5 linked regions of the Cricetulus griseus genome follow. The protein of the gene in region 5 interacts with the protein of the main gene of each other region in a pairwise test. Links are inferred from orthologs where the notes say so. Each region holds a gene or a part of one and is shown on either strand. Other genes may lie near its edges. The genes, in order: Was, Khdrbs1, Larp6, Sos1 and Itsn2.

Region 1 (4,948 bases), on a different chromosome or scaffold from region 5:
GTCACAAGTCCTAGAGATAGTGGACTACCTGATGGGCCTATGGAGAGAATAGTGTGAATGAACCACTGATCAACTTACCTACTAGCTAAAGCACAGGGGCAAGAAATAGAAAGACTATTGAAGAAGGAATGTATGTGCTTGATGGTCATGGAGGAAATGAATGACAGAAGTCTTGACAAGGCCTATGAAGAGGTGGATGGGTCCCCAAAATTATTCAGTCACTGATTCATATATGCTTATCATTCAGGTAGTGACTCATTCATTCTCTGGCTGGTAGGCTAAATGGCTTATTAAGTTATTTATTTGTTTGATTATTTAATCTTCCCTGGGTAGAATATTACATTCTTTAATCTCATTTTTGTGATTTAATTTTGTATATGGGGTATATGATATAAATGTGTGTGGATGTGCATGCATGCATAGCACATTGTGGAGGTTGGAAGACAACTTTATTTTTTTTTAATTTTTTTTCTTTTTGGTGGCTGGAGAGACAGCTGTGGGTGCTGGGAACCAAACTCTTATATTTTGGGTTGTGAGCCTAGCCTTTAACGGCTGAGCCATCTCTCCAGCCCTATTTTTTTAATTTTTAATTTTATTTTATATATTTTTTTTGGCTTTTCGAGACAGGGTTTCTCTGTGTAGCTTTGGAGCCTATCCTGGCACTCGCTCTGGAGACCAGGCTGGCCTCGAACTCACAGAGATCCGCCTGCCTCTGCCTCTCAAGTGCTGGGGTTAAGGGCGTGCGCCACCAACGCCCAGCCTAGAAGACAATTTTAAAGAGTAGGTTCTCTTCTATCTTTGTGTGGATTCTGGGGATAGGACTCAGGTCTCCAGGTTCAGTGACAAGTGCTGAGCCAGCTCACTACCTCTCATTTCTTTTTTTCACTATCCATTTACATACCCATTCATTAATTCACTGGACCATCCATTCATTACTTGAATACAAGTAAGTATTCACCCATTTACCCAAATACCCACTCACTTATTTATCTATAATCTATCATCAGTTCATCTTCCAATTTACTCCTCTATCTGCTGCCAATCCATCAACATGCTCGGCTATCCACTCATCCACCCATCCACCTAGCCAGCCATCCACCTCTTTACAAATTTAGGCATTCATGCAACTATTCATTCATCTAACTCCTCACCGTCTCTCCAGGGACATGAAAAGCACCACTCGTTGGAGGCCAGCCTGGTCTCCAGAGGGAGTACCAGGATAGACTCCAAAGCTACACAGAGAAACCCTGTCTAGAAAAAAAAGAAAGAAAACCACCACTCACCACCCTGGTCTCCGCCTGGATGTGGGGGCAGAGGTGGGAGGCCTCCTCTTCTCTCTGGGAAAATGGAAGAAGTTAAGATGTTACATTGTTGCCACAGGTTTCTGGCTTAGTTCCTTATAACAGCTACATGAACTGGAGGACTCACCTTCATTGGTTGGTGCTGGTGGCGGTGGTAGCTGGCGTCTTTCTGTGGTTGAATAGGTAGACTGAGAGTCAGAACCACAAGAGGGGCTCTTCCAGCCTCACCTCACATGTCTAACTTATCTCCCCAACCCCCACCAAGGGCTTCTCCTTACCTCCACTTTGCCTCTGATTCCTTTTTTGTATCTTCTCCTGCACCAAAGCCCTGAAGGCCTGGGCTTCACTCTCGTCCGAAAAGTTCAGTCCTACTTGGCAGTCCTATATATGCCTTGGGGTCAGCAAACTTCTAGCACTCCCTACCCCCCAGGCTTTCTCCTGGCCTCCCCACACCCCAACTGCAGCCCAAGGCTAGGCTGCTCACTTACATCTCCAGCAAAGGTGTGGAAGAAGGGAGTGGGAGTGAAGTAGACCAGCTGTGAGTACAGCTCCTGTTCCCAGAGTAGCCGACCAGCCTGGAGAGGGGCAGGGTGGGGGACATGCTGGCATGCAGGCACTGTGGGTGGCAGACTTTTGTTTTCTGATCAGGGAGTGTGGTGTCCAGATTTGGTGTCCTAGAGTCTTATTTAGAGATCGTCAGCTCAATAGCAGAATTTGGGGTCTAGGTGTCTGGTATGGGGGATTGGGAGAGAGTCTTAGAAGCTGACACTGATGTGAGAGATCTAGGTCTGGGATTTGAGGACCATTTGTAGGAGTTGAGGGCTCAACGCCGTGAATTTAAGATTCTAGGCCTACAGGCCGGGCGTTGGTGGCTCATGCCTTTAATCCCAGCACTCGAGAGGCAGAGGCAGGCGGATCTCTGTGAGTTCTAAGCCAGCCTGGTCTCCAGAGCAAGTGCCAGGATAGGCTCCAAAGCTACACAGAGAAACCCTGTCTCGAAAAACAAACAAAAAACAAAACAAACAAACAAAAAAAGATTCTAGGCCTACAAATATTCACCATGTTGGATTCAGAACAGATTTGAGGCTTCGGCTCAGGTAGAAATGTGGTGTTTCAGGGGAGTTTGTGGAGCTGATCAGGACCCTGGCATGGGCCTTCTGAATTCAGTCATCTAGGACTCCAATGAGAAAACACAATTTGGGATTTGTATTGGTCTTTGGCTCTGGAGTTCTGATGGGAAAAAGGGCTTGAGGCTACGGACAAAAACTGGTTTTGCAGGTTGGAGACTAGCTTTTCTGTCCAGTGGGGCATTGGGTCACCTGAAGGCCATAGAGGCGAATGAAGTAGGACTTCTGAGGGTTATCCTTCACGAAGCACACAGCCCCGCAGTGTTCCATGGTCCAGTGCTCAGCTCCAGGGGGCAGTGCCAGGTACAGCTGAACAACTGCAGTGGCCAGTGTCTAGGATGGGACAGCAGGGGGTCACTGGAGTCTGTGCACGGGTAACCAGGCCTGGCCCCTGCCTGCTTGAGGCTGTCATGAGCTTGGGGGAAAGAGCTATAGCCAGGAGGAAGGTAGATATCAAGATAGTCCTGGGATCCACAAACTGTGGTAAGTGGATGCTGGGAGAGGAGATGGGGGAAAGGGAAAAGAGGGATGATGGGAAGAAGAAGGAGCAGGGATGTATGGGTAAGAGGAGAAGGCAAAAGGGGGAAGAAGAGGTAGAGAGGAAGACGAGGAAAGGGAGGGAGACTGGGAGGACCAGGAGATCCCCAACTCACCCAGCATTTTCGGCCAAGCAGCTCAAAGAGTCGCTGGTTCTCATGGTCCTGGAGGAGGTTGGAAGGAATGTTCTGCTGAACTGCTGGTCCCCCTCGACCCCCAGGCCTGCCTCCTACAGGGCCACCACTCATGGTGCCTTCTGCCCTAGTCCTCTTCGGCTAAGCTCTGGGTGCAGGGTAAGAAGAGGAACTTCCGCAGTGAGCAAGGGAACAGGAAGTGCAATAAACCACAAGGGAAACAAGTCCTCCAGGGGCCCCCAGAGGGCCTGTCCTCCTCGGTAGAACTGACTGGGGCCATCCTCCATTTGCCTAGCTAGAACCATGTTTGTAATGAGCTCAGGGATCCTTTCTTCCTTTTCTTTCTCTTCCCCCCTCTCTGTCCCTCTCTCTGTCTCTCTCTTGCCATTTCCTTCTGACAAGCTCAGATCTCGCTCTAGTTGGTGCTGAGAGCTAAGCCATCTGCAGCACTTCTACAGGGTTCGCTGCTCAGAGTAGTCACAAGGCTGTGTCATCTCCTTCTTCCCTAAAGCACCAGTCTGGCCTGGGGTTGAGTCCAAGGCTCCAGGTGCTGAAGGGTCATTGCATTACAGCTTTTCCTTGCAATGGCGCAGTGACCCCATCTCCAGCCTTGAACATCGCCAACAACATATAAGCCCATGGCTTACTTCCTCATCATTTACCCTTGCCTCCTGTAGCTCCCTCTTTACTTTCTTCTGATCAACCTCATTCTGTTTTGTTTTGTTTTTTGTTTTGTTTTTCGAGACAGGGTTTCTCTGTGTAGCTTTGGAGCCTATCCTGGCACTTGCTCTGGAGACCAGGCTGGCCTCGAACTCACTGAGATCTACCTGCCTTTGCCTCCCAAGTGCTGGGACTAAAGGCGTGTGCCACCAATGCCCAGCCAACTTCATTCTGGAAGGAAGGACTTCACAGTATAAATAAATTCTAAAACAACATCTTGATTGCTTTTTTAATATTTGTTTTATTTTTATAATGTATTTAACTTTATTTTAATGTGCATTGCTGTGAAGGTGTCAGATCCCCTGGAACTTGATAGTTTCCAGTTGCCATGTGGATGCTGGGAATTGAACCTGGGTCCTCTGGAAGAGCAGACAGTGGTCTTAACTGCTGAGCCATCTCTCCAGCCCTTGATTGATATTTTTAAATTATGTTGGGACTTTTCAAAAGTATGTAACCTTTGAAGGTTTGATTTTCGCCACTTTTGGTGATGAGAATTGGATACAGGATCTTGCTGAGCAGTGGTGGTACTCGCTTTAATCCCAGCAGTCTGCAGGCAGAGGAATAGGATCTCCGAGTTCCAGGCCACCCTGGTCTACAGACTGAGTTCTAGGACATCTAGGGCTGTTACACAGAGAAACCCTGTCTCGAAAAAGAAAGAAAGGAAGGAAGGAAGGAAGGAAGGAAGGAAGGAAGGAAGGAAGGAAAGAAAGGACCTTGTCCATGCACCTTCATGTCCTCTAATTCCATTGCCCCTTTGATGAAGCAGGGCAATTAGGGGTTGGGCTCAGGTGTGGGGAAGCAGTCTGGAATGCTGAGCAGGTCTCAGATGTAGGTAAAAACTCTAAATTGGAGGTTCTCAGGCCTTCCTGGGAATCTCTTGGCTCTCCATGCCTGCAGGTTCAAGGTCTCAGCTCCTGAACTCAGGCTGCCATTTGAGATAGCTCCTCCAACTTCCTCCAACTTCCTCCAACCTCTCAGCTCTTCTCTAAATAGTTTATGGTGCCCAAAACACACAGAGCTATTGACACCTCCGGGCCCCAAGAACCTTACAACTTGTTTTTATTTTCTTTCATCTGGGGGCTGTTTTTTTTTATCTTCTTTCATTTGGGGGTGGGGGAGGGAGTTGGAG
Region 2 (4,195 bases), on a different chromosome or scaffold from region 5:
TTTTAGGTAGTTGTTTTTTTTTTTTTTTTTTTCCCCCTTTGTCCTTTAAGATCGATTGCTAGATACACAGAATGAGTATGTTATTTTAGTTGATGAGGTTTCTAAGAGATTCTCTTCTCTTCCTTGAACTCCTAGACAGTAAAAACACTTAAGCAGGACTGATGGTGATAAAGAGTTCTAAATACCGAACAAAACTATTATCTGAGTAGATTCTAAAATTAAGCTTTAGCTTGTTGTTCTTCAGATTTACTGCATTGAATGCTCCAATGTTTAAAGAAACAGTTAACCAAGTATAGTTTTAGCAGGTAATGTAAGTTCCAGTTTCTAGGACTTGCTTTACTTCTTTCTTAGGAGTTCAGGTGTTTTACATATTAAATTATTTCTGTCTCCCTTTGGCCTAGAGATAAAGGTGTTTTCTTTTAGTCTGTATATGATTTGATATTTCTTTGCATTTTTCCATAGGAGGAAGAACTTCGAAAGGGTGGAGACCCTAAATATGCCCATTTAAATATGGATCTCCACGTCTTCATTGAAGTCTTTGGACCCCCTTGTGAAGCTTATGCTCTTATGGCCCATGCTATGGAGGAAGTCAAGAAATTTCTAGTACCAGTAAGGAAATGCATATTCTTTATTTTCTGAGCAAGGAAGAAGCTAGGATCATACTGTTGAGAAGGCCAGGGTTCTTGACCTAGGGTCTGTACTTTTGTTCATCTTACTGAAGTTTTCCCACTACTTACACCTCATTCTCAAAGCACTGTACTCCAAAGCATACTTGTTTAATAGGACTTCATTAATACGTACTGGTATTTGTTGTCAATATTTTGGGTCCCTGAGGTGTTAACAATCTGTTTAACAAAGATTTAATAAGGGCTTCATTCAGTTCAGTAGGAAAATGATTTAAGGTAAATCTGCACTTTTATGTGCTATATTCTTGAATCTAGAGTTGATAACAGGAAGCTTAGAGCATCTAGTATTCTCATGAGATACACTGAAGGGTTTTTATGGTGGAGTTTTTATTCAAAGTCTGATTTAAAAGAGGTATATGTTACACACATGACTATTGATGGTATGTAATTTTTCTTTAATTGTTTGAGTCAGGGTCTCACTATGTATCCCTCTGCCTGGCCTGGAACTAACTTACTTTGTAGTCTAGGCTGGTCTCCAGCTTGCAGAGATCTACCTGCCTCTGCCTACCAAGTGCTGGGATTAAAGATATGTTCCACCATACCTAGAAAATGGTGTATAATAGTGTCACCTGATTATGGTAGAAGTTTGGGAATTCCCTGCCCGCCCGATTTTGGGATTTTTCCAATATATAATAAGGTATCTTGAGGATGGGACTCTAGTGTAAACAAAACACTGGTTTTTGTTTGTTTTGTTGAGAACCTCTCATGTTGCCCAGCCTGGCCTTGAGTTTGCTATGTAGCTGAGGGTACCCTTGAATTCACTGGTCTTCCATGCCCCTCATTTGCTATTATTAATAGCATGCACTGCCACACCTGATTTTTGTGTGTTGTTAGGGATCCAACCCAAGGCTTGTTCGTGTATGTTAGGGATGCACTCCACCAACTGAACTCTGTCTCCAGGTCTCCCAAATTTATTTATATTTACTAAATACTTTATACTAGACTGAAATTTCTTTTTTGTTTTGTTTTGGAGGCAGGGTTTCTCTGTGTAGCTTTGGAGCCTGTTCTGGCACTTGCTGTGTAGACCAGGTTGGCCTTGAACTCACAGAGATCCGCCTACATTGCCACCACCGCCTGACCTAAAATTTATCCTAATTGACAAATGTGACAGTAGAAGATACCTGAACAGTGAGCAGACATTGGTACTTGACCCTATCTACTCTTAAGTAGCAATGGTGTATAAGGTCAAGGAAAGTAGAGAGTTGCAAAAGACATTGCTCTACTATTTTATTTATTTATTTATTTATTTATTTATTTATTTATTTATTATGTATTTGGTTTCCGGCACAGGGTTTCTCTGTATAGCTCTGGCTGTCCTGGAACTCACTATGTAGATTACGCTGGCCTCAAACTCACAGGTCTGCCTGCCTCTGCCTCCCAAGTACTGGGATTAATGATATGTGCCACCACATTTGGCTTTTCTTGGGTAACCTTTAATTCCACTTTTCCAAGCCATGAGCTCCTTTGTTCACCCCAAACGTTAAGTAGTGTTAAATAGTAGTAGATGAATAACAAAATTGTGCTTGGGTCTAAAGATACAAAATGGCTCTTGAGGCTGGGGAGATAAACTCCATTCATAAAATACTTTCGATCAGTTTTACAAGACTGGGTTGGTTCTCCCAGCACCAACAAACATAAAAGTTTGGCATGGTAGTGCATACCTTTAGTCACATTGCTGGGGATACAGGAAGATCTGTGGGGCTTGCTGTATAGACAGTCTAGCCCAGTGAGTGGCAGCATTAGGGATTTTACTCAGGGCTTTGTATGTACTCTAGGCATACCTTCTACCGCTTAGCTATACCTTTAATATGTCTTGTAAGGGTCAGAGTTCCCAATTATACTGTGAGGAGATCTTGATGTGTCCCCTCATTTTGACAGAGAGAGCTTCATTAATGGTAGTGGCTTCTGTTATTCTAGGAAAAGTAACTTTAAAAATAATGTATTTGTGCAAATATTCCTGGCTATAGCTTATTTGGCTGGACTTGAGAAAGTTTTGTCTATAGAGAGAAGAGTGATGGGGAGAGCTAAGCAGGTACTTAACTATTTTATGAAGAACCTCCTCTATTAGTAAGGGCTGTCAAGACTTTCCTCAAAGAGGTGACAGTATAATATTGTTTGTTTTTGTTTTGAAACAGGGTTTCTCTGTGTAGCTCTGGCTGTCCTGGAACTCACTTTGTAGACCAGGCTGGTCCGGAACTCACAGAGATACGCCTGCCTTTGTCTCTGCCTCCTGAGTGAGTGTTGGGATTTAAGGCATGCACCACTATTCCCAGCTTCAAGGCTGTTCTTAAGCTCCAAGGCTCATGTGAGCCACATGATTTTTAGGAGATGTTACACATTCTTTGTTATCTTTAATTCCCAGGATATGATGGATGATATCTGCCAGGAGCAATTTCTAGAATTGTCCTACTTGAATGGAGTTCCTGAACCCTCTCGTGGTCGTGGGGTACCAGTGAGAGGAAGAGGAGCTGCCCCTCCTCCTCCACCTGTTCCCAGGTAAAAAAAAAAAAAAAGTTGAAAAGGAAATATAAATTAGACTGCTGATAGGCTTCTTACCTCTAGCTCAGGAGGAGTCATGGTTTAAATGGTATGTCAAGTGTAGAATTCTAGATCTTAGCAGTTTGTCCATAGACAAGTGTACAGTCCTACTCAAACTTTGGGGCTTCTAACTTTGGACAGTCCTAGCATTAAAAAAATTTTTTTATTGTATTTATTTAGTTGTGAGCTTTGGTGGGGGATATATATATGGGTGTGGAGGTTAGTCCTATCCTGTGGGTCTTAGGGATTGAACTCAGGTTGTCAGGCTTAACCAGCTGTTTGTTTACCCACTAAGCCATCTCACTGGCCCCCTAGTTGTCTTTTTCAATATGTAGCCCTGACTGACCCGGCGCTTGCTATTTTATAAACCAGTTTTCTAACTCTGAAGTGCTGTGACTAAAGTCTTAAGTCACCAAACCTGACTATCTAGTATGACTTTGGAATTTTACCTTTTCAGTTTAAAATTTATGCAATGTTCAGACAATTTAGAATTGTCTTGAGGTGGTATGATCCACTGTTGAGCCCAGAGAATCTTCTAGTTTAGGTACTCTTATGTGTGCATTATTCTGTGTTTTAATGTCTATTTTAGGGTTGGATATATGCCTCATTGGTAGAGAATGCTTGCCTAGCATGTGAAAATTTCTGGGTTTGATCCCTAACACTTTACAAACAGGGTATGGTGACACACAGTTGTAATTCCAGCACTTGGGAAGTAAAGGCTAGAAGTGAAAAGTCATCTTCAGCTACATAGTGAGTTCAAGACCATACTGGGTAAATATGAACCCTGTCTCAAAAACAAAGGGAAAGGTTAAAAAAAGGGTGGGGGGGCCAATCGAGAGATACAGGTTCTGACTTAACCAAGAGTCTACCTTTAAGAAATTTAAATTAGCTGGGTGTTGTGGCAATATACCTTTAATCCCAACACTCTAGCATTGGCAGTTGGATTTGTATGAGTTCTAGGCTAGCCAGAG
Region 3 (4,195 bases), on a different chromosome or scaffold from region 5:
TATATAACCAACAGAGAAGTTGTAAATGAGGGGTCCAGTTCAGATAAGATCAGATGTACACTCAAGAATGGATGCTTGGAGAATATGTAGCTTTAGAAATGGAAGTAGAAGGAAGAGATGGAGCAGGAACCTGTCATGGTTCTGGGGAAGAAGCTGTGTCACCTTGATCTCCACCTGAGCAGCTGTTTCCTGGCTTTTATCTGCACCCAAGTTCCTGGCTTTCATGAGGACCTCATATGCACGGGATTGAGGGCCATCCTACTCTACAATGTGCTCCCCCTTACATTAACATCCACAGTGACTGACTCCAGATAAGGCCAAATTCTGGATCCCTGGGGCCTGAGGCTTCAATCTGTGAATTTGGAGGGTGGCAGTTCAACGCATAACTAACTCGCTGTCTCCCTCTGACCTCAGCAGTGCCACGACAAGTGGAGGTGAGAATGAGCGTGAGGAACTGGAGCCGGAGTGGAAGCCCCCGGATGAGGAGCTCATCAGGAAGCTGGTGGATCAGATTGAGTTCTACTTTTCGGATGAGAACCTGGAGAAGGATGCCTTCCTACTCAAGCACGTGCGGAGGAACAAGCTGGGCTACGTGAGCGTCAAGCTGCTCACCTCCTTCAAAAAGGTGAGGCAGGTGTCCCAGAGGCTGCTCATAGCATTTCAGGGGTGTGGGCCTTGTGGTGTTAAACATTTTGATATTTTGTTTTGTTTTACACCCCACCACCCACCCCCTGCCAAGGCCCTCCTGCCCAGCAAATTTTTAATTAAATATGATGCCTGAAAAAGAAAAATTATCAAGAGAAGGAATTCAGTGGTGATAGGTCCTAACTCAGGCGTTAAAGTGTTTACCATACAAGCATGGGGACCTGAATTTGATCCCCAGAATATACATGAAAAAGCCAAGCTTGGTTCCATGCCTGTAATTCCAGAGCTGGGAAGGTAGCAAAAGATCTGTGGGACTAAAGAGCAAGCCAGCTTAGCCTACTGGGTGGGCTCTATGCCAATGAGAGACTCTGTCTTGAATATAGATAGATAGATAGATAGATAGATAGATAGATAGATAGATAGATAGAGATATGGATAGATCCTGAGAGGAATGACACCCAGGACTGACATCTGGTTCCGATACACACACACACACACACACACACACACACACACACACACACACACACACACACACACACACACACACACGAGCATTATGAGAGCATTCCTGAGAACATACTTGCATGCTATGTAAAGTGTTCTGAGTGCTAGGATAGATCTCAGCTGGTGGTTAGTAAGAAATGCTGTGACTTCCTCAGTAATGTTTGGGTCTTCTTGCCAGGCACACGGATGCCCAGAGGATGCTACACCAGAACAAGGGGTTCTGGAGACCTTGAGAGATGCCTGTCAGTCTAGAATTGCATGACACCCACTCATGCTTTCCACTTGAGGAGCTGAGTCAGTATGGGATGGGAGAGAACACACAGAACTCAGTGAGAAAATCCTCCTCCGTGACTCCAGCATGCTCCGCTCTGTGTGATACCAAAGGGAACTCTGTGTACCAGAGTGATAGATGCTGAGGGGGCACTGGCAGCCACACAGGAGACTGCCCACCCCTGCTGTGGACAGATGCAGAACTTGGGCCCTAGACTCCGTGCTCTCAGAGGACTGACTAACCAGTTGGAATAATGACTCTGTATCTCCCTTGGGAGAAGTGTTTTTACTAGAATGGGAAAGCACCATGCAGCTTGTTGCATAATGGCTTATGTAAGGAGTGGGTCCCCAGAAGGAGTGGTCCTGGCCTAGATGCCTGTGCACTTTTTTTGTACTGGAGGAAAGCTCAACATCTTGCGGCTTGTCTCTGTCTGGTTCCCTGGTATGCTCTGCCTTCTTCATGGGCTCTTTTTCTTTTATTCATCTAATACCAAATGTATTATTCTTTGTATTTGATGAGTGTTGTGTTAAGTGCAAGAGGTACAAAATGAATATGGTATTCTGTCTTTCCTTGAGAGACTTACAGTCCAACAGAAGACAAGAGATCCATGAAATGCTATGGGATAACCACAGACAAACTGATGGAAGACATAAAGATATTTGGGGACTAGCTGATCAGAGCAATGAACTCTATCTAGAAAACTGAGATGTATTCTTGGAGTGATGGCGTTGGGATGTGGTCTTGGGGGATGAATAGGAATTGCAAGGTCCCAATGGGAAGGAATGCTTCATGTTCAGACAACAAGATCTGCCATGAAAAATACTTCCAGGGTTGGGGACTTCTGAATGAAAAAGCCAGTGGGATCCTCCCCAAGGGCTTCAAGAGCCACCCTGGTTTTCTCTTCTTTCCTAGCTGCCACTTACAGATACACTCAGGAGCACTCTCTCTTTAAAGCCAGCTGCAAGGTGGACAATTCACACACCCCCAGCTCACACTCCCCAGTTCACACCCCCGCAAGTCAGAGCACAGACTTTTTCCTTCTAGAAAGATTTCCCGCCAGTCAGAGGAACGTGTCACAGGAAAGCAACAAATGCAAGGAGATTACAAAGCGTTTGTTCCTTTCCTCATCACTGTGACAAAATACCTGACAAATGTGGCATATGGCTTTAGGTCAGTGTTGAAGGTGCACCCCATCCTGTCAAGTAAGGCACAGCAGCAGCAGTGTGAGGCGGCTGGTGGCATGGCACCCACAGACAGGAAGCAGAGCAGAGGAGTGCTGCTGTTCATCTTGCTCTCTCTCTTTTGTTCAGTCAGGGACCTGGCCCTGAGATCAGACTACCCATGTTTAGGGTTCATCTTGCCTCTACAGGTAAACCTTATGGAACCCTCCTCACAGACACATCCAGAGGCTTGTGTCCATAGAGATTCTCAATCCAATCAGGTTGACGATGATGGGCAACCATCACACAGAGTTTCTGACAGTCTGACAGAGTTCTAGAGTCTGCCCAAGGCCAAACTTCTTTCTTTAAAAAAAAAAAAAAACGTGTGTGTGTGTGTGTGTGTGTGTGTGTGTGTGTGTGTGTGTGTGTGTGTGTTAGTGAATGCATGTGTACCATGTGTATGCAGTACCCTCAGAGTCCAGAGGAGGACATCAGGTCTTCTGTAACTACAGTTATAGACCGTTGGGAGCCATCGTGTGGGTGCTGGGAATTGAATCCAAGTCCTCTACAAGAGCAGCCAGTGCTCTTTACTGCTGAGCCATCTCTCCAGCCCCCTGGTTTCCATTCTGATGTGATATTGGAAACTCGTAAAGCATCACAGACATGGACCTGAGATGCCCTTAGAGTAAGCAAGGTTTCCCAGGGGACCTGGCTCTTGCCTCTGTGTGTGCCCTCGTCCTCTACAGCTCTCCTCTCTGGTAGGACATGGTCCTCCCTAGTGCTCACCCTCCCTGGTAAGGCAGCACATGCTTCCCTGCTCTGACTTGACTTTGAGCCTAGGAGGGATTTCTTCGCCTCTCCTGCATGCTCCCTTCCCAGCTGTTTTCACAGATGGCTCCATCATGCTGGCCCTTGGCTTTCCTACAACCTTGCAGTCATCTTCATCCATCTGAACCCCTTCTGGATTTCTGATTGACTAAACGTTCACTAGAAAAACCCAGGCCTGCTTCTCTGACTCATAGTGATCCACCCAAGGACTCTTTGTAGGTGACCTAGGGTTTCTTCATGCTAATAATGAGAGGCCACAGGCCACAGTGAACAGTGTACATGCTCCAGCAGTGTGTCAGTCAGGACTGGGGCTCTGTGGAGGTTTCCCTGGCCTGTCCAAAAAGAGAGGCTTCTTTTCTTGCTTTCTGTGCCTTCTCTGTTTGAGTCCCAGGGGCAAGGGGAATTCCTGGTTCCTCTGCAGATCAGCCTCCTGGACCTGGCCTTGGAGGATTCTGGGTGATTTCCCCATCCAGGCTCAGGTTACCCACCCCACCCACATCCTACCCTTCTCTGGGATGACTCATGGCCCTGGCAGGCCCTTCACTGGAAGTGGGCTCCGCAAAATTGCCGTTTTATGAAATAAATATAGCTTTTCATATACTGCAGCATCAGTACACAAGGTTTCCATCATGGGAAGGAAGGGAGGAGTTGTTTCATCAGTTCTCAAGAGGCCCAGGTCAGTGTAATTCCATGTTCTGGTGTCTGTCCCCGTTACTCTTGGGGGAGGTTACAGCGGAACAGAGAAGATCTTTTAGAGGCTTCTCTTCATCAACTGTCAGTCACA
Region 4 (4,195 bases), about 12 Mb from region 5:
ATTGTAACTACTTCAAATGACAGGCTTAGAAAGAGTAAAAACAAGATCTCTGTTCACACATGTTCATGAGTGTGGCACAAGCAGTGTGTGTGTGTGTGTGTGTGTGTGTGTGTGTGTGTGTGAGTGGACAGCTTTTGGGATGCGATGACCCCAAGCTTGTATGGCAAAGGACGTTTACCTACTGAGCCATCTCGTGTCTTTTTTATAGCTTAGAGGGGTTTGACCCTTTTTTAGCAGTTAAAAATAAGGCCTCTGGCAATCAAAACCATTAACTACTTAGCTAACCCTACTACTCTGTAAGATTCTGTTTCTAGTTCTTTGCTCTGTTAACATGATTTACCGGAAGTTAGGAAACATAGTTAATTAAAGTGATGTCAGGAAATGGACAGGCTATTGTTACTGCTATCTCTACTAGGTAGGTGACCCAACAGGTGACACATTGAGATCCTAGCAGCAAAAGGGAACCTGGTTCAAGTCCCTGTCCTTGCTTTTTTCCATTGCACATTCCTTTGCCAATGATAAATTTGAGACAGGAAAAGAAATCAGCTGATCATATTTTACAATCAGTGTTTTGTTTTGTTTTGTTTTTGTTTTTCTAAAGCCACTGCTTTAGGAGGCACCAAAGGTATCAATACATTAAAGTTCAAAGCCATATATGGGTAAAACATGTGGGCATTTTTTGTTTGTTTGTTTTGCTTTGATTTTGTTTTTTTCAAGAAAGGGTTTCTCTGTGTAGCTTTGGAGCCTGTCCTGCAACTCACTCTGTAGATCAGGCTGTCATCACAGCCACAGAAATCCTCTTGCCTCTGCCTCCTGAATGCTGGGATTAAAGGCGTACGCCACCAACACCTCGCAATATCTGGGCGCTTTTGAGACTGAGTCTTTGATCTCTTTTGAAACTGAAAATAATAGTTTTAATCATTGTTTACCTGAGACTTTAATACTGTTCCTTTTCCTTTTCAGATCCCAATTTTGTTCGGACATTTCTTACAACATACAGATCCTTTTGCAAACCTCAAGAACTACTGAATCTTATAATAGAACGGTCTGTCCATTTTATATGTCTGAATTCTTTGATTTGGAAAGGATTAAGTTACATATTTCCTAAAAATGTTGCAATAAGTGTAACTGTAGTTGAGTTTAAGATAAAACTACTACTGGGTTTACAAAACCATGCTAATTTTGATTATTTAAATAGATTTCTCTCTCTCTCTTTTTTTTCTCATTTATTTAGTATTTAAAATTACAACTTTTCAGGGTTTGGGCTACACTGGGATTGAGCCATGGGCTTTTGGTTCAATCTAAGCAGTATTCCCAGCTCAAATTTAAAGAACTAAATAATATATAAATATGTATGATTTAGACTCTAGGCTAAACATAAGCCTATAATCCAAGAATTTGGGAGGTAGAGGCAACAGAATCAGAGTTCATGGTTATCTTTGACTCTACATAGGGAGTGCAAGGCTACCCTGAACTACGTGAAACCACACCTTTAAAATAATGACACACTAGAAATTCAGATTTTAATGCTTCACAAGTTCTAAACAAATTTTCAAATATACTACATATTGAATAAAAATGAATCTTGTCAGTGAGCAAATGCTTTTATCAAGGAAAATGTTTTTCATCTATCCAAAGGGCAATCAAGTTTCAAGCACTAGTTACCCTTAGAGTAATCTACAGACTAAAAATTAACATTAGTCCCATTTGTTTTAGACTTTATATGTGTTGTTATTTTGCTTCTAGTTAGTTTTAACTCTGTTGGCAATATTAACTTCTTTTTAAAAAAATGTAATCAGCCTTTACATTATAAAAGCCTTGTATATCTGTAGTAATTTTTATAGTAGTCTCTTGATTATACTGATAAGTATAAATAAAAGTTTGTGAATCTGAATTTGATACAATATTTTCATTAATTTTTTTTTTTTCTGTTTCATGGTAGATTTGAAATTCCGGAGCCTGAGCCAACAGAAGCTGATCGAATAGCTCTAGAAAATGGAGATCAGCCACTGAGTGCAGAGCTGAAGAGGTTTAGAAAGGAGTACATTCAGCCTGTCCAGCTGCGGTGAGTAGTGAGGGCGTGGCCTCATAGAAACCACAGCTTCTCAATGTGCATTTAAAGTCCTAAGTCAGGTGAAGGAGGCAGACCAAGTGGGTTAGTTAAGAGTCTTCTCTGAGTTATCAGCTTTAGTAGATTGTTTATTGGTAAGGGCTGCTCTTGTTTCATGTGTACACTCAGTGTAAGACCCCATGTAATCCAGTTGTGTTAATGCCACAGAGTGTTAAATGTGTGTCGGCACTGGGTGGAGCACCATTTTTATGACTTTGAAAGAGATGCAGACCTTTTACAAAGAATGGAGGAATTTATTGGAACTGTAAGAGGTATGTTTCTAATTTCCTACTTGCATATGTGATAAAATTACCAATATGATTACCCTCAATTGATACATTATAGCTCATTTGAAAATGTTAAACTTTCTCATCAAACATCACTTTGGCTGGGTATGGTGGTGCACACCTTTGATCCCAGCACTGAGGAGGCAGAGGCAGGTGGATCTCTGTGTGTTTCAGGACAGCCAGGACTACAGTAGTGATACTAGGTCTGAAAAAACAAAACAATAACAAAAAACCATTATTGAGACTTGTAAATTGCTCAGCAGTGATCCTGCTGACTCAGTATACTTTGTATCTGTTTTAGAACTGGGTCTTTTAGGTGTCAGTTTAAGCTAGACCACTTAATTGAAACTATGTGCTACCTACAGTAGATGGTGGAATGTTTTTTAACCATTGTAGCACCACTGATAAAGGTATATGATTAGGTAAATGGAACAAGTAGCATATTACACTGACAGACTACTACTACCTACCATCACTACTAGCCAGATACATAATTTTGGTTCTTTAGACTTCAGTTTATTCATAAGAAATTAGGGTTGATTATCACAAAGTTTCCTTTACTTTAAAAATTCTGTGACTGTGTGACTTTAAGGGTGCCCTAGACAAACTTGGTTTTATAGCCATTGTTCAGTCTAAAGGAAAATCAGAAAATAAAGGATTAAATAGATTACTTTCCTGTACAGTACAAAAGACAGCCACATCAAATAAGACTAATATGATCGATCAGTCCTCATAAATGGGTTATAAAATACAATATTAATTAGACTTGTGAATGTGTGTAATTTATTAATCTTTGTATGGAATATACCTTGTATGGAAGAATTATAAAAAATAGTATTTTGAACTAAGGTTCAAAGTGTTGGAGGTGAAAAATCAAATTACCTTTTACATTCATTTAGGAAAGGTCTAGATACATGCCAAATTATTAACAATGGTTACCTATCTGGAGAAGGATGAGAAGATGGGGGAGGGGAACTCTTAGTATTTACTTTGCACATTTGACTTTATAGCAATGATTTATTCGTGTATCACTTGTATTACTTTAAACATATTTAAAAATAAAGTATTAAAGAGTATTTAAATGTTTGTTAAAATGTATTTCAGGTAAAGCAATGAAAAAATGGGTCGAATCCATCACTAAGATAATCCAAAGGAAAAAAATTGCAAGAGACAATGGCCCAGGTCCTAATATTACATTTCAGAGCTCACCTCCCACAGTTGAGTGGCACATAAGCAGACCTGGGCACATAGAGACTTTTGACTTGCTCACCTTACACCCAATAGAAATTGCTCGGCAACTCACTTTGCTTGAATCAGATCTATACCGGTATGTTGTTCAACATTCAAGCTGAGAAGTTATTTCAAGAGTTCATCTTAAAAATGGAAGACATTTTCTGCCTTTTAGGGTTGTCTTGAGATGTCAATGAGACAGTAATATGATATATTTGTAGCACTAAGGCAAGCAAGCAGTTCTGGTCCATTTGCCCCCTTGATCACCCTTGATCTACTTAACTTTGTGCTCTTTCTGCAGTTAGCCCTGCTTGGTAAGCTCAAATCATAGTAGTACCAGTTGTTGGCTTAAGTTTCCTGAAAGAAAAGTGAGGCCAAAGTCTGTACTAACTTGTAGGACTGTGAGGTTTCCAGTGCATGCCCAAGGAATAGCACAGGCTGAGCACAACACAGGACACAGAACTACTGCTGTCGTTTCCCCACAGTACCACAGATAGCTACTACTGTGGTAAAGCTAAGTCACAGCAGGTTATAGCCCTTTATAGTTTAATATTGTTCATCGATGAAA
Region 5 (4,195 bases):
TTCATCTTACACTTCCAGATAAGAGCCCATAACTGAGGGCAGTCAAGGCAGAAACTGAAGCAGGGCAGTGACTTAGAGAGACCATGGAAGGATACTGTTTACTGGCTTGCTTCTTGTATCTTGCTTGTTTTGCTCCAGGACACCAGCCCAGGGGTGGCCCAGCCCACAATGGCCTGCCCCCCAGTCATTAATCAAAAAAAAAAATGCCCAACAAGCTTGCCCACAGGCTGATCTGACTGGGGCAATTTCTCAATTGAAGCTCCTCTCAGATGACTAACTAGCCAGCTCATGGGCTATCCTATTCATGCATGGGGTGAGCATGAACACTAAGCATATAAAATGTATATATCCCAGGGATATGTGAAGGCATATATGAGCTAATCTTATTTTCTGTAAGGGACCCTGACTCATCTGTAGCTCTTGCTGAGTAGGGAGCAATATTTATTTATTTGTTTATTTGCTATATTCTTCCTAAAATGACTGAATTTCATTTAAGAATAGGAAATTCCTAGTGTGGGTAGCCACTGTAACTTCTGTTTGACTTTAAAGGATAAACTGGGAATGGAATGTAGCTCAGTGGTTGAATGTTTGCCTGCTATTTGTGAGGCCCTGGGTTCAATCTCCAGTACTGCAAAATAACAAAGAATAAATTCAACTGATCATATTTGTTATTATTAGGAGCTTGAGTAAAAAGGGGAGGGGTTAAGGAGATTTTCTTTTCTATTAGGATACACAGCTGCGTTGAAGGTTTGAAGTCAAAGCTAACATTTGTGAGTATGCAGCAGGTGTGCTCTACACAGTTACAGATACTCAGCTAGTCAGTTTTATAATAACATTGTTAAGTAATTAGGATTGTCCCTATTTCACAGAGAATGAATCTGAGGAATTGACAAGCAAGGCTGTTCAGAGTCATCTGCTTCAAGTGGCAGAGGCAGGTTCAGCCCCAGCAGCTTGGTTCTCAGTATGTGGTTCACAGATCCCTGGGTGCCCTTAGGAGTCTATGGAGTGAAAACAACTGTTATGGTAATATTAGAAACGGTCCTTTTGCTGTGCCTACCGTTACAATGGTGAATAAAATGCCAAAGACTTGGCAGCATCAAACCATATTTTTACTTCAAAGAACTGACAAATATTTAGACTTAGGGTTTAGTAAACATTTTGTTCAAAATGAATTAAGTATACTTGCCACTTCAAGGAAAACAGACTACAGGGTTTCTTGCCAGTGTTAAAATTCAAGCTCCCCTCTCCCACTTAATTCTTTATGCAGTACTGGGGCCTGGGGATTGAACCTCAGGTCTCACACTTGGAGGCAAGGGCTTAACCCCTGAGCCAGATCCCATCCCTAATTTATCCTTTAAAGTCAAATCAAAGTCACAGAACTTTTATTCTTAAATCAGCTGAGGCCATTTTAGAGAGAATACAGTCCTAAAAATCCACCCTATCGACAACGTGACATGATGCTGTCATCTACTAATGGGTTGAGCCTTATTCATGGTTAGTTATACGATGCCACAGGTGCTACTAAGGGCCTCAGATCAGTCATGCCTGTTAGACATCTATGACAAGTGATGATATTTACAGATGTTATTGTCTTGATATTATATAATAAAGTGTGTCAATACAAGAAACATCTGTACACCTCAGTGAGCCACTAGTTTCTAAATACAGTGAATGATGTTACGATTTTTCACATGAGTAAAGGATATATTTACAATGAAAAACAGACTAGTGAATTTTAATATAAAATATTTTACATTAAAATTAAATGAATTTTAATATAAATTAATTTATTTTAAAACAGACTATTTTATTCAAATAGACAATGAACTTATCTAACAAGTTTATATATTAATTTATCAAATTAATTAATATATTAGAGTATTAAATTAATTAAATATTTTTATTGTTGATTAATACTAAGTAAACATGGATAAAATTAAAAGAATTTTAATATGAAAGTATTTTAATATAAAAGCATTCACCAGTATGATATTAAATTACTAGAGCTACAACTAATTTATAACAATTTACCCTGCATCAAATTTTGATGTAGTAGAATCAGACTACCAAGAGATATCTGCAAATATTAAAATACTTTTTTACCCCCATATCTGTATGAGGCTGTATGTTCTTCATATATTTCAACCAAAAGAAGACATCAAAAGGACTGAAGCTGAGCTTGGTGATGGACATGTGTAATATCTTCACTTGGGAGGGCTTATATACATGAAGATAAGGAGTTCAAGGTCTTGGACTTGTACCAAACATGAAGACAGCCTGAGCTATGTAAGACCCTATCCCAATGATAAAAAGAAAAACACTGAAAGTGTAAAGCCAGACTTACTACAGAGACAGATAAGGGGTCTGTCCTCATTTACACCAGCAGCCATAAAAGGTTTGTAGAAATAATATATCTCTTTTTTTTACTTTTTCTTGGAAAATTGAGTTATTTTTCACAAAAGCTTCTTATGTTTTCACACAATGAATTTAATTATTTAAAATGAATACTTAAATGATTTCAGCTTTAATTTCTCCTCCTCCTCCTCTTCTTCTTCCTCCTCCTCCTCCTCCTCTTCTTCTTCTTCTTCTTCTTTTCTTCTTTTTTTTTTTTGGTTTTTCAAGACAGGGTTTCTCCGTGTAGCTTTGGAGCCTATCCTGGCACTCGCTCTGGAGACCAGGCTGGCCTTGAATTCACAGAGATCCGCCTGCCTTTGCCTCCCGAGTGCTGAGTGCTGGGATTATGGGATTGAACATGCGCCACTAACGCCTGGCTCAGCTTTAATTTCTAATATGGTAAAGATCACTGGGCTATAGCTCACACACTGATCCTCTGTAGTTTTTTTTTTGTTTTTTGTTTTTTTTTTTTTCCTCAGTACAGAAAGCCTGCAGGTTTCCACATTACATCAGAATGGTTGTGTGGGGAAGCAGCGGAACTCCAGAATGTGGACCAGTGGAGTCAGTGCTGGTGCAGACTCCTGTCAGCTGGCAGGAGTTCTGTGGACTCTAGAGCCAGTCCTTTTTGTCAGTGACCATGAGGATCAGTCCTATCAATGGCTTATGATCTTTTTAGTCTATGAATCCTGTGCTCTTTATCTTCTAACTGGGGCCCCAAAATAAAACCTATGTAATTGGAGCTACTTTGAGCAGTTTCACTGTGATGAATGAAGCCTGAGCAAAACAGTAGATCTCTGTATTAGCATGAATCCTGATTGGTAACAACAGAATGAGTTTGTTTTAATGAAAAGAACACTACCTCTTGATCTTTAGGTTTGACATAGTTGGATGGGAAGATTCCAGTTCTCTCTCCAATACTTCCTGTCCACCACTCTCCATCTTTCTGGGTCACCAATATTTCTTCACCTTCATTGAAAGTCAAATCTCCAGGCTCTACACTTGAGTATGGATAAAGTGCAATGTACTCTGTAGTGAACAAGGAAAGGCAAATGTTCTGGATTGAGACTACAGATGTACAAAAGAAAATGGGCCAATCTCTAAGATGTAGAGGTTTATGGTAAAAGACAGTGAATCTTACAACTTCAAACAAGGTCTTCATGTAGAAAACAGAACCAAAGCAACTACTTAATAATTATCTAGGTGAAGGCTAACAAAGTTTACCAAGGGATTTACATTTTTTTCCAATTGCTGCTATTTTGTTAAAGAAAAGAAAGATTATTGCTTAGACTTCAGGGACAGTGGGCTCTGTGGCAACAAGAGTAGCAATAGTCAATCTTTTACTTTCATTTATTTTGTCTGAGATAGCACCTCACTATATAGCTAGCCTTGGCTGACTTGGAAGCAGAAATCACCTAACCCTGTTTCTCCAGAGCTGAGATTAAAGGCCTGCCCACTTTGTCAATCATTTTTTTGGTAACAAAAAATTATCCTAAACTACAAACATATAGTATCTCTACAAATAATGGAACTGAGGCTTAATTGGAGTGCTACTTGGTGATAATGGAGTCAAAACAATCTTTAAACCTTTAATGTAAAATATACCCTAATGTGCTAATGTTTGTTCTTTAATTGTTCTGTACACAGTTATGGAAACACAAGTTCTGCCATAAAGCTCTAGCTCCTAGCATAGTGCTTGGCACAAGCAGATGCTAAATGAGTCTTATCATGGGATAAGTCTGTAGTTTTATACTGTCTTTGAGTCTTGTTCCTATAGTTACTACAACTTTGAAGAAACAGAAAC

Evidence for each region.
Region 1: the proteins of Itsn2 (region 5) and Was interact in a two-hybrid assay, tested with the Homo sapiens proteins (2 studies listed by BioGRID). The link is inferred for Cricetulus griseus from reciprocal best matches to the Homo sapiens genes ITSN2 and WAS.
Region 2: the proteins of Itsn2 (region 5) and Khdrbs1 interact in a two-hybrid assay, tested with the Homo sapiens proteins (2 studies listed by BioGRID and IntAct, with this or other methods). The link is inferred for Cricetulus griseus from reciprocal best matches to the Homo sapiens genes ITSN2 and KHDRBS1.
Region 3: the proteins of Itsn2 (region 5) and Larp6 interact in a two-hybrid assay, tested with the Homo sapiens proteins (2 studies listed by BioGRID, with this or other methods). The link is inferred for Cricetulus griseus from reciprocal best matches to the Homo sapiens genes ITSN2 and LARP6.
Region 4: the proteins of Itsn2 (region 5) and Sos1 interact in a two-hybrid assay, tested with the Homo sapiens proteins (2 studies listed by BioGRID and IntAct). The link is inferred for Cricetulus griseus from reciprocal best matches to the Homo sapiens genes ITSN2 and SOS1.

Annotation. Positions count from the first base shown.
Region 1 is NC_048604.1:114,563,291-114,568,238, forward strand, and holds the start of Was (wiskott-Aldrich syndrome protein), read right to left. Parts: upstream 3,263-4,948; 5' UTR 3,214-3,262; coding exon 3,082-3,213; intron 2,762-3,081; coding exon 2,621-2,761; intron 1,877-2,620; coding exon 1,790-1,876; intron 1,683-1,789; coding exon 1,580-1,682; intron 1,471-1,579; coding exon 1,429-1,470; intron 1,338-1,428; coding exon 1,284-1,337; intron 38-1,283; coding exon 1-37. UniProt on the Homo sapiens protein: Effector protein for Rho-type GTPases that regulates actin filament reorganization via its interaction with the Arp2/3 complex. Important for efficient actin polymerization. Possible regulator of lymphocyte and platelet function.
Region 2 is NC_048595.1:23,297,648-23,301,842, forward strand, and holds part of Khdrbs1 (KH domain-containing, RNA-binding, signal transduction-associated protein 1), read left to right. Parts: intron 1-462; coding exon 463-609; intron 610-3,048; coding exon 3,049-3,182; intron 3,183-4,195. UniProt on the Homo sapiens protein: Recruited and tyrosine phosphorylated by several receptor systems, for example the T-cell, leptin and insulin receptors. Once phosphorylated, functions as an adapter protein in signal transduction cascades by binding to SH2 and SH3 domain-containing proteins.
Region 3 is NC_048597.1:172,245,586-172,249,780, forward strand, and holds part of Larp6 (la-related protein 6), read left to right. Parts: intron 1-414; coding exon 415-625; intron 626-3,919; exon of another isoform or gene 3,920-4,087; intron 4,088-4,195. UniProt on the Homo sapiens protein: Regulates the coordinated translation of type I collagen alpha-1 and alpha-2 mRNAs, CO1A1 and CO1A2. Stabilizes mRNAs through high-affinity binding of a stem-loop structure in their 5' UTR.
Region 4 is NC_048600.1:3,663,048-3,667,242, forward strand, and holds part of Sos1 (son of sevenless homolog 1), read left to right. Parts: intron 1-963; coding exon 964-1,045; intron 1,046-1,942; coding exon 1,943-2,065; intron 2,066-2,278; coding exon 2,279-2,382; intron 2,383-3,501; coding exon 3,502-3,724; intron 3,725-4,195.
Region 5 is NC_048600.1:15,504,879-15,509,073, reverse strand, and holds part of Itsn2 (intersectin-2), read right to left. Parts: intron 3,421-4,195; coding exon 3,254-3,420; intron 1-3,253.